2 linked regions of the Arabidopsis thaliana genome follow. The protein of the gene in region 2 interacts with the protein of the main gene of each other region in a pairwise test. Each region holds a gene or a part of one and is shown on either strand. Other genes may lie near its edges.

Region 1 (5,373 bases), about 13 Mb from region 2:
GCGTGGAAGGTTACTGATCATACCCGTTTTCACGAAAAGCCAGAATTAATGGACGACTCCGGTAGGGTCTCCCTGAATGGAAATTTGTACTGGACAGCTTATAATTCTCCCCACACTGGTCAGTATTTCATCGCAATGCTCGATTTTTCGAAAGAGATAGAAAAGAGTCGAAAGACCTTTTGTGTTTTACCGTGTAAGGGGGAAAAAAGTACTACACATACTCGTATCCTCTCGATTTACAAGGGAGATCGGTTTTCAGTGTTAGAACAATCCAAAAAAACAAGGGAGATTGAGATTTGGGTGACAAAGGATCAAATTGGTAACGGGGATGATGGAGACGATGTGGTGTGGATTAAGTTCATGACAGTCTCAAGACCTGACTTCCCCATATTACTTAGTTACATCTCTACAAGTTACTTTGTCGATAATGATATCCATGGGAAGAGCTTTGTTCTGTGTTGTCCTAGCAAGAGACCTAAAGCAGCTTGGGTGTATATTGTGAGGGGAGATTTGTGCAAAAAGATTAAGATAGATCAAGTGCTATGTGAGTTTCAATCCTCTGTCTATGTTCCCAGTTTGATCACCATTCCTTGAGAGTTGAGAGACTTTCGCTGAAGCTAGTACTGAACAAGAAGAACTTTTACAAGTTTTAAATTCATTGTTGCTTTCGTATTATTTAGATATTATTTAATAAAGCTTTTACAGGATTGATTTCCACAATTTGTTCGGCCTAATTCGGTTAATTGATAATCTAATTTGTGAGCATGGGAAGATATACGACGTCCTTTCTCTATCAGTGATTCCTGTTTATATACACTATAACCTATCGCTCAAATTAGGAGAATACTGTAACCAAGGAAGTTATAACATAAGCCAAAATGTTAGCGCGGACTAGGACAAAAACAGAAAACTAACTTAGTGCGTGTATGTTGTCTTAGAATAATATCATGTGTACAAAATATTTGAACCAAACAACTATCTATTTCCCCAAAGTTAGTTTTAGCACTCCATTGAAATTAATAAGAGAACGGAAGCCCAGTGACACTGAGTATTGAAAATAAACATTAATGAGTAGATGTATACAACCTAGCTTGCTTAAACCATCTAGGCATGTTATTAGAATATCTATCATGTAAGTATCCAAACTCAATTTTTTCCAAGTAAAGAACAGTGTGTCTTATATTATATACATACTAGTGCCTTGAAAATCCTTGTGCCAGAAAAAAGAACAGTTGCAGAAGACCTTGCTCGATCGAAAAAGAAATCAAACAAAAGTAGCATACAGAAAAGAAGTGAGATCTGTCACCAACTCTTTCACTGGAACTTATTAATTGCGATTAATTATGCAATTTTTATTCTTTTGGTTTGAATGCAATTTTATCCTACAAAAATATAAGAAACTCAACAATGAAAACTGAAAAATCGAAAAGACTATCATTCCTTCTATACATTGAAAACATTCTCTACCCATGAGAGTCCATTTGGACCCAAACCTAACAATTCCTTCACACATAAATTGTTCTTGTCTAAACACTACTAAACAACAACACACAAAATCTCACAATAAAACAATCAACCAAACCGCTACAAACGCTTTAAATCAATTTCTTACCACATTCAATGATTTCACAAGATTAGTTTACATCACTCACTCAGAGCTATTTGAGTTCTCCTCTCTACTATCATCATCATGATCACTCTGTTGCTGCTTCTCTTGATGCTCCACCGCATTGTTCGCTTGTTCCGCATTCGCGTTTGCGTTTCCGCCTCTTGAATAAGCCGAGTTCAAAGCGGCTAACATCCCGAGATTCGAGTCCGGCATACTTAGTCCTAAGTTCTGAGTCGGCTGCGGCTGAGCTAAAAAAGAACCTAACTGAAGTGGACTTCCTCTGTACTGATCCATCGGAAAACTAAACCCCGTTCCCGCCATAAAGTGAGTCGCTGCTCCGCCTCCACCTCCCGCTCCTCCTCCAGCAGAGTTCACAAATGGCCACATAGGAGGAGCACGGTGGCCTGCGGCGGTGTTATTGTTGCTACTACTCTCCATTTGATTACCGGCCGTTGTCGGTACCGGAAGCATCCAAAAAGTGTTCCCAGCACCAGACCTACTCGGCGGCGCAACCGCCCACATCGGCGCCGCCGTAGGACCCGACGTTTCACTTTCTTTCAAAGATTTATTCTCGTTCTGTTTCCGATCATCGTTTTCTTTAGACAAATCAACCGATCTATACCGTTTCCTAGAGAAATTCTCACCTTCAGGAATAGTTTCCACCGGATCTTGATTCTGATTCTGGTTCTGGTGGTGTTGAAGCTGATGATGAAACCCTAAAAGCGGCGACGTATGAGCAGCAAACACACCGCCGCCTCCTTGTTCATCATACTGATGATGAGTCAATCCAAGAGCACCGTAAAGCGGCACCGATTTCGACGGCGGAGCAGAGAGAGTCGATCCACTACTTCGTAACGAAACACTTAAAGTAGAGAAGTTCGCCGGAATAGTTCCTGTACCTGTAGCAGCAACAATAGCTGGCTCAGCTTGTTGAAGAAGCCATTCAATAGTTTCACCATCGGATTTATGACCTAACTCTCTCGTTAACTGAAAAACTCTAGCTGCACATAGCGCCGGCATACGAATCCGACGTCCTCTTCCGTCGACTTTCGTGTGACGGTCTTTAGTCGACCGCTTCGTTGTAGTCGCCGTTGCCGTAGATGAGGTTGTTGCGAGTGTTGAGTCTTCGGGAGGTGTAGATCTGGGAACGATTGAGAGAGATGCGTCAACTAGCTGTCTTGCTCCTCCTCCGGTGGCGACGGCGGCGGTGTCGTTGTTGTTGTTTCGGATGTCGGAGAGATCCATTTTCCGGTGAGAAAGAAGGGAAAAGAAGATGAAATTGAAATTAGGGTTTGGTGAAAGAGGAAGAAACGGCCATGGAAGCTCCGATTGTCGCCTTCAAGTTTGACTCTTGTCTTCTTCTTTGTCTCGAGAAGAGAGAGAGAGAGATGAGAGAAAAAAAGGTTTGATGATGTAAAAGCAGGTGGATGACTTTTCCAGCAAGAGGATATTATTATTAAAATAAATAATATATATGCCGTCATTAACATTAAATAAAACGTTTATTGATTTTTGATTAGTTATTATATAAATCAAAAAGTAATTAGGGGAGAAAAATAACTTTTCACAATTATTTTAAGTCTTTTTTATCAAAATTCTACCCAAATATGAGTTATGTTATTTTTCAATTACATTATTTTCATCACAACATTATTGTTTACCAATTTTAGAGCACCAATAAAAAAAGGTTTAAAAAAGATTTGTGGATTAAGAAAGTTAGAAAGAGAGAGATAAGCATCTTTCAGACAGTGAAGCGTGCGTATTTTTGCAGGTGGGGACAGCTCATTACAATCCACCTCCGTATCTCCATTTCACTTTTGTCTTAAATATTTTTAGTTTTATAAGATTTTGTTAAAAGTATATCCATTAGATAAATGACACTAAATTCTTTAATTAGTTATATAGTTTTGGGAAAAAATGCACTTTCAAATCGTTACAGCTTTTTGTTTTAGACGTTATTTTGGTTATAGATTCATTAACATATCAGTTTGTAAGAATTTGGATCACAAATTTGATCATTCAACCAAATTAAGAAAGACATCAAACGTTACTCGTCAAGAATCCCAAAGAAAGGATGGACAAAAACTTATCTAATTTGGAATTTTCTAGTATTTAGAATTTATGAACCGGTTGAAATGGGCCGGTCTGTTGTGGCCCAAACCCGAAAAATTATTTATGAACGGGTTTCCTCCTAATTTAATATGGTAAGGCGTTGGGGTATTTGGGTCTTTTTGGGTTTACGGTTCAGTTATTTTAAGATTTCAGATTCAGATCGGGTTTTTTTGGTTTGGATTCGAGTTCATCCGGAATATCCAAAACTCAAAATTTTGTATCAAAATATATTTAAATTACTTGAAAATACACAAAAAAAATTCCAAAAAACTTGAGTATTTTCTATCCGAATCTATCGAAAAGTAGGTAAAATATCCAAAATATATACAAAATCTAATATTTTATGCACTTAATAGTTGTTGTAAATATGATTATTACTAATAAATTATTTTTATGTATATATATTTCAGATATGTTCAGAAACTTGATCGGATTCGGGTTTTGTAGTTTAGGATCTGATTAGGTATTTTAAAATTTTGGGTTTGAATTCAGATCGGGTTTTTAGGGTCAGGTTCGGTTCGGTTCTTCGGGTTCGGGTATTTTGCCCACGCCTACCAAAAACATTTCTAATGTAGCCGTTTCAGTTTCCTCTAAAACCAAACGACAACAATGCTAACCAGTTTACTTTCTGATAACAATTGAGTTGATATAGGCCCTTCAAGAGGCTTGACAAAGAGCAATGAAATAGCTGTAAATGTGCATATAAATTAAGTGCAGATCTGAGGCAATCAAATATTTTGACGCTTGGGGATAGTACTACAGAAAATGGCAACAACTTTACATGAAGCATTCACTCGAAGGGAATGCACCATTTTACAAGTAACATAAAATACAACAGTGGGTATCATAGTACAACTCCAGAGATGAGTCCGGGTTCGAATATATTCGTCCCATATATTACACAAGTCGCTACAACAATCACCAGATAAATGAAGTCCAGGTGTCTGATCTTCGAACTAAACCACCTCAGGCAAGCCATCTCCTGGAAGTAATATAGGATTTCCAGGTGCACTGGTGAGTTAACTTGTCAACCATAAGAAAAGAAAAAAAAAGAAACGACGGGGGAGTTAAAAACGTCTGTGGTGAGGCGGTAGATAAGGGTCTGATCTTGTTGAGTCGCCAGGCCCTTAAGATCTCTAATGAACCAGTGGGTAGAGAGACATTTACTAAAAGTGGAATTGACCCATCACAGATACAGAGTCACGCCTACAGTTGGAATCTTTGGTGTTCAGTGAAAGACTGGAGAACTGAGAGTCGAGATCTTTGCTAGTAGCACGTCCGCGACTGGCTGATGGTTTTTGAGTTTGTTGTTGTTGCTGATACAACGCTCGTAGTCTCCCAATCTCCTTTTCCAACACTTCTTGTTCCACTGGATAATAGACAGAACTCATGAGGTATACAATCTTAAGAACTGTTGAATCTTGATAACTAGCTAATACTTACAAACTCATACTCTAGACTATAGTTTGAACCTTAAGAACCTAAAAGAAACTGCGAGAAACTTACATTGTTTGATAAGCTTCTCCTGAGCTATACTTTCGAGACGCTTCTTGAGAGCTTTATTTTCCATACTCAGAATAAGATTCCTCTGGTTGAGAAAATCAAGTTCAGCTGAAACTTTGGAGCCTTCTGCCTATAGTCACAAAATAAAA
Region 2 (5,775 bases):
GGAAATTGATTTCTTTAGCTTTCTTGTTTCGTGAATATTGATGGTTATATATTTTATATACTAGTAACTTAGAAAGATCAAATTAATAATAATTTGTGTAAAGAATGGAGGACTCTAAAACCTCTTCATTCTCTCTAAAAGTAGATCTAGATCTCAGTTTGCGTTGGCTGGCTTTGGTGGCTTCCATAGCGCCGGAGCTATGCGTCTCTTGCTCTGTTGTAAAGTTTATGTTGCTTTTACTTAGTTTATGTGCGTTGTGGTGTAGGGATTTTCGAATGGTTCTTAGATGGCTTATGTTGTTTTTGTGGGTTGGTCTATGTTGCTAGTAGCGCCTCTTGATCCGGTCATGTTTTAGCCTTCTTCTCGTTTAGCCTCTTACCAGGCTTGGTGGTTGCTTTCGTTTCTGTCCGGTTCGATCTCCTCCCGTTTTTCTTTTTCGGTGTGGTCCGAATTGATTTGGTTCTCTCCTTGTCTCTACTCTAAAGATCTGATCGAGATCTCATCTGTTCATTGGCTGGTTTCCTTCGAGGCGCTAAACAATCATATTCTTTAATTCGCCGATTCCGGGAGTGTAGGTGTGACTTGTCGTCTTTGGCCTAGTTCTTCTCGCCGGTATGGATTCCTTGGAACTCTTCTATGTAAGGTAGTCTTCATCGTAATAGGTGGCACCGCTGTCCGTTTGGTTGGGAGTTCCTTGTCTCCTACGGAGTGGCTTGTTGTAAAGCTCTGCCTTTCCTTTGTCTGGTAATGTGGTTGACGAGATGTTGTGTTTAAAATTTTGGTTGTTTTGGTCTGCTTCTTTGTTTCAGTTTCGCAACTTTGCTTTGTTTGTAAGGTTTGTTTTGCCTTGTTGTCTCCCTTTCCTTTGGGTTTTGCTTCCAAGACTATCCTTTTAATCGTCGGCTTAGTTTTCTGGTGTTACTTGTTAACCGCCGGCTTTATATTTCACTTTTGTATTTCACCGGAATCTCTATAATAAATTTTCAGACGACAAAAAAAAAAAGTAACTTAGAAAGGTCAAATGTCAAAACAAAAAGTGTTTTTTTTTTAGTAAGTGTTTTTCTCCATCGTACGTACAAAAGCATTGAGCGCGCGAAGTCAAGAAGGATCTTTATTATGATAGGTTAACAAAGATTCTTACTAAAGTACTGTTTCATGGAATGTTAAAACATTCATGGAATAAGAGTAGTCATGAATGCAAAAGTAGAATTTTTTTTATAGAGTCAATGCATGTCTCTTCAAATTAAGTTCAAAGTTGACAAGTACTACGAAATTACTGAACAAACTCGCTCATTCCCAAGGACTCTTCTCGAACACACACAAATCCTACTTCCGTTTCAGATTCTTCTTCTCTCTATCTCTCTCCAACAACAGAAACCCTAAACCAACATAATCAAACCCTAGAAGAAAAGAGTCACCATCACATGTCATACGCCATTATTTATTTTTTTGTTAAATTTTCATATCCCAAATTGTTATTACTCAAATGGAGATTTTCCCCAAATGGAATGCCTCTGAGCCTTTCTCTCTCGGAACCCATTATTGCTTTCTTCATGGTCCTGCATCACAAACATTTCAACAATTATTTGGTATATTAATTGAAAACTATACATATTCAGCTTCAATGTTTTAAATTAGTTGAATGGGTTTCTATAAAAGTAAACTGTGTGCAGTGTAAGCTTCAATACTATAAAAGGGTTTAGGTCATAAATTTCACACATTGTAGTAGTTGAAGATCAATGATATATTCTCACAATCTCACTTACCCTTCTCCTTGCTTTCACTCTAATAATTAGTAAATGATTTCTCTTTATATAATTAGTCTAGCTAGGGTTCTGAAATTTTGACTGAGAGCGATGCTATTTGGATCTAGTTAATGCTTTAATTATTTGGTTTGCTTTGGAAAATGACACTTGTTGTGGAGTTTACTTGTCAAGAATATGGTAATTGATTTTGAAGCGAAAGTGATTAAAAAATATAAATGGTTGCTGAGGATTACCTCAAAAACATTGCATGGTAGTATCGCATTGTTATCTTCCTCACAAAAACATTGATCTGAAGCAGCTCTCTTGTTGTGAGCTGGAGGAAAATGGGCCCACTTCGCCATCCCCAAATCAAAAAATTGAAATCATAAAATGTTATTAGCTAACTCGATCTGTCAATTAAGCTAACAAAAAGATGAAAACTATATTAGGGTTTTCTTTTAAATCTTAAGACTAATTAAGCTTAAGTACATTTTTGGCAGCTAAGCTGAAAGCTTCCTTGTGAGCCATGCTTGGATTCTGAGCCTTTAACCTCCTGATCTCTTCCCTGCTCCAATACAACCCCCAAAGAAGAACCATTTTACAAACTCAAAACCTTAAGTGGTTAAATTTGTAAGAATATATATAATATACATACACATGTAATGTGTTGAATTTATTTCTTACTTGATGAAGCAATTGTAAGCTGAAGGAGCTCTTTGTCGCTTCTCAGGTGCTATATATATACAAACTCAAAACATAATTAGACGACTGATGAAAGGAGAAATCGCAAAACTAAAGTTTAAGTTGAATTTATACTCAAACGTACGTTTATTGACAACTTGGTAAACACGAGACACATCTTCATCTTCATTGTCTGAAGATGAAACCAAAGTCGTTGGACTGTTCTCCTTCTCCTGATTCACCTTCCATGCTTCTTCTTCCACACCATCTGTAGCTGCAACCTCCTCTTTCCCGGTCTGCACATATATTTACATATAATCAAAAGTAAGTATATATATATATATATTGGTCATATTTAGATGGTGTGTGTTTGTCTATGTATAGATGTTATGGAAACCTCATCAAGATGGGAGAGAGAAGCAAGGAGATGGAGAGGAATGAAGGAAGCCTTCATCAAATTGACAGAGAGAAGGCTTGTGCAATGCCCACATCTCACAGTCACCACCATTGACAAGCTTGTAAACGGTACACTCACCTGCAACACATTTACACTCATTAAACTCATGATCATATATATAAAGAGAGGAAGGGAGAAAGGAAGGGAGAGAATAAGAGAAGAAGTTAAGGTATACCAGCAAAATAGTGGTGCAAAAACCACACTGGACATGGCAAATCTGCCCCGGCAGATCAAATAGATGGTTGAGTGTTGTCGTCATGTTGGGGAGCTTTGTCATAGAGAGTGTGTGTGTACGATGAATGATAGGAGATATATGTGTGTGTGTGTGTGTGTATATATAGACAGAGAGATAGGTTTTGTTAATATTCATTAATGCAAATATGTAATTATATTTATATCTTTCATGTGGAATGCTTTGGTTATATGCTAAAATGCACAATACAATTCAACTTATGTACGTCTCTATCTCACTTGTAATAATTGGAATCTTCATAGTCTCTATGAGCTGTAAGCAGTAAATGATTCTCATTCTTTCTATTAATCACATTCCTAACTCCTTAATATTCAAACTACATTTTCTTCTCTAAAATAAAATAAAATAAAATGATGTATATAATACTTTTGTTGATGATGGAGTTTAATTAAGAATTTTCGTTATACAAAAGCATTGTTATAAGATTTTTATGTTATGTCACACTCACAAAATATATATGACAAATGATACATAACGTTTGAGCGTTTACCATTAGAGGAGACATTTTTTGTTGTCAAAACAATTTAAAACACTTAATAACCTATAAACAGAAAATATATAAGCTCCCTTCAAAAACCATTTCAGGATTTTTCTGATAAATAAGCATACAAGATAATATGTGTTATTGTAAGATAACACTAGGTTAAACAAAAAAATAACAAGAGATAAAAATCGATGGTAAAGAGTATGAGTATTAAAAATGAACATGTGAAAATGGAAAGGCACGTTGCACAAGAGGAGATAGATAGACATCGAAGAGAGCTGGGGTTAATAAATGATGTGATGTGGTGGTGTGGTTTGGTTTGCAAGTTAGAAAGAAAGAAAAAAACAAGTGAGGTTGAGAAAGAAATGCCTCTTTGTCTCATGTGTAGTTGTCTCTTTAAATGGGATTTAATGAATCTCTCACAAAACTCAACAGTCTTTTGGAGTTTTGGTTGAAGTGAGACTGAAAATGAAAGTGCAGTGAGTTGAGACTAGTGCGGGTGTTTCTAGGAGACTCATCACTTTTAGTAACTCGGAATCTTAGGATTTTGTCTTTCTTCTCTCACATTTTTGCTAACTGTTTCTTGACCATTTTACCCAAACTCTTCTCTCTCTCTCTCTCTCTATTTCTTCAAGTTTCAGTGCTTTCTCTCTGTGTCATGTTATTTCTACTGTCCCTCTCTTTATTGCTTTCTCTCTCTCTCACTTACTCTCATCTCCTATTTTGTGTTCAACCACAAGAAAAAGACTAAACATAATACTAATATTTACTCAATTTCCTACACATTTGTAATTTTTGTGTGGGTGGAATCCAATGCAATGACCCAACCCCGGAGTGAACAAGTTTCGACCCATTTTGAGAGATCACATAATTTACCGACCCATTAATAAGTTTCGATCCATTTTCATAAGCCTATTGATGAGTAATTGAGTAGGAGGTACACATTTGTGATTTGAGAGATTAGAGGTTAAAATTATACATTGTAATCATAGTTATGGCTTCTGGTTTAACAGTCTTTTACTCCATATATACTGATATACATCTCATTTCTAGTCTCAAACTTTTACATGACAGCTTATAGATTGGTCAAATCTCACTGTTAACATAAATAGAAGCTGTGAAATGACGATAAAATGTGCAAAGACAAACGCACGTTAATGTCAAACACATAATCAATATCTGAGAGAATTTAAACTTATCTTAGCAAACAAGTTATCAGAGCCAACAACAACAAAACTTCAAGACATTGGTGTAAGAATATGATCAGAATCAACATAATGGCTAAATTTTGCCTTGCACTAATCCAGGTTAAAACTAAAACAATGTCGCAAAGAATTGTTCCAACACAACGTCCTAATTCTACAGCCACAATTCAACATTTCCACATCAGTCAAAGCATAATGAAACAAAAAAAAAATTGATCAAATTTCTAATCAAAGATAATATAATGTATTATGCAACAATTAAACCATCCCTCAATAGTATAAAACCATCTCAAAATATCTGAATTAAAAAAAAAACAATCTAAATTCCAAAAGCAAAAAGACATAACCTACTCTTCATCAGCCTTCTTGAACACGTAAGTAGTTCCACATTTCCCACAATAATGCCTATCGAAATGACTCGCCATGAAAGTTCCAGGACCACAACTAACAGAAGGACACTCTTTCTTCAACCTCTGAACTTTCCCACTTCCATCAACCTTGTAAAACTGCAGAACTGCTAGCTTCACTTTCTTGTGCGTATGCTTAATCTTCTTAGGTTTCGTGTACGTCTTCTTCTTCCTCTTCTTCGCACCTCCTCTCAGACGTAGAACCAAATGAAGCGTCGACTCTTTCTGGATGTTGTAATCAGCTAGTGTTCTTCCATCTTCCAATTGTTTTCCGGCGAAGATCAACCGTTGCTGATCCGGTGGGATTCCTTCCTTGTCTTGGATCTTCGCTTTCACATTGTCGATTGTGTCTGATGATTCTACCTCTAAGGTTATTGTCTTCCCCGTTAGGGTTTTCACGAAGATCTGCATTTTCTTGTTTGAGAAAAAACGCAGAGAGTGAAAACAATAGCTTTTATATCAAGGAAATTAGGGTTACAAGTCCATAGATTATGGGCCTGGCCTTAGGGCCCAATTTAATAAGTAAAGCCCGTAATGATTAAA

Evidence for each region. The genes of interacting proteins can lie anywhere in the genome.
Region 1: the proteins of INO (region 2) and TCP8 interact in binary tests that used the Arabidopsis thaliana proteins (3 or more experiments, as listed by UniProt).

The regions. Positions count from the first base shown.
Region 1 is NC_003070.9:21,511,032-21,516,404, forward strand, and holds TCP8 (TCP family transcription factor), read right to left. Parts: upstream 3,159-5,373; 5' UTR 2,855-3,158; coding exon 1,649-2,854; 3' UTR 1,301-1,648; downstream 1-1,300. Other genes in the region: AT1G58090 (F-box and associated interaction domains-containing protein), read left to right, coding at 1-594; AT1G58110 (Basic-leucine zipper (bZIP) transcription factor family protein), read right to left, coding at 4,888-5,090, 5,228-5,354. UniProt on the Arabidopsis thaliana protein: Can specifically bind site II elements in the promoter region of PP438/PNM1.
Region 2 is NC_003070.9:8,314,808-8,320,582, reverse strand, and holds INO (Plant-specific transcription factor YABBY family protein), read right to left. Parts: upstream 3,287-5,775; 5' UTR 3,254-3,286; coding exon 3,059-3,253; intron 2,962-3,058; coding exon 2,824-2,961; intron 2,723-2,823; coding exon 2,572-2,722; intron 2,479-2,571; coding exon 2,430-2,478; intron 2,311-2,429; coding exon 2,235-2,310; intron 2,099-2,234; coding exon 2,000-2,098; intron 1,560-1,999; coding exon 1,479-1,559; 3' UTR 1,092-1,478; downstream 1-1,091. Other genes in the region: AT1G23410 (Ribosomal protein S27a / Ubiquitin family protein), read right to left, coding at 5,173-5,643. UniProt on the Arabidopsis thaliana protein: Essential for the formation and the abaxial-adaxial asymmetric growth of the ovule outer integument.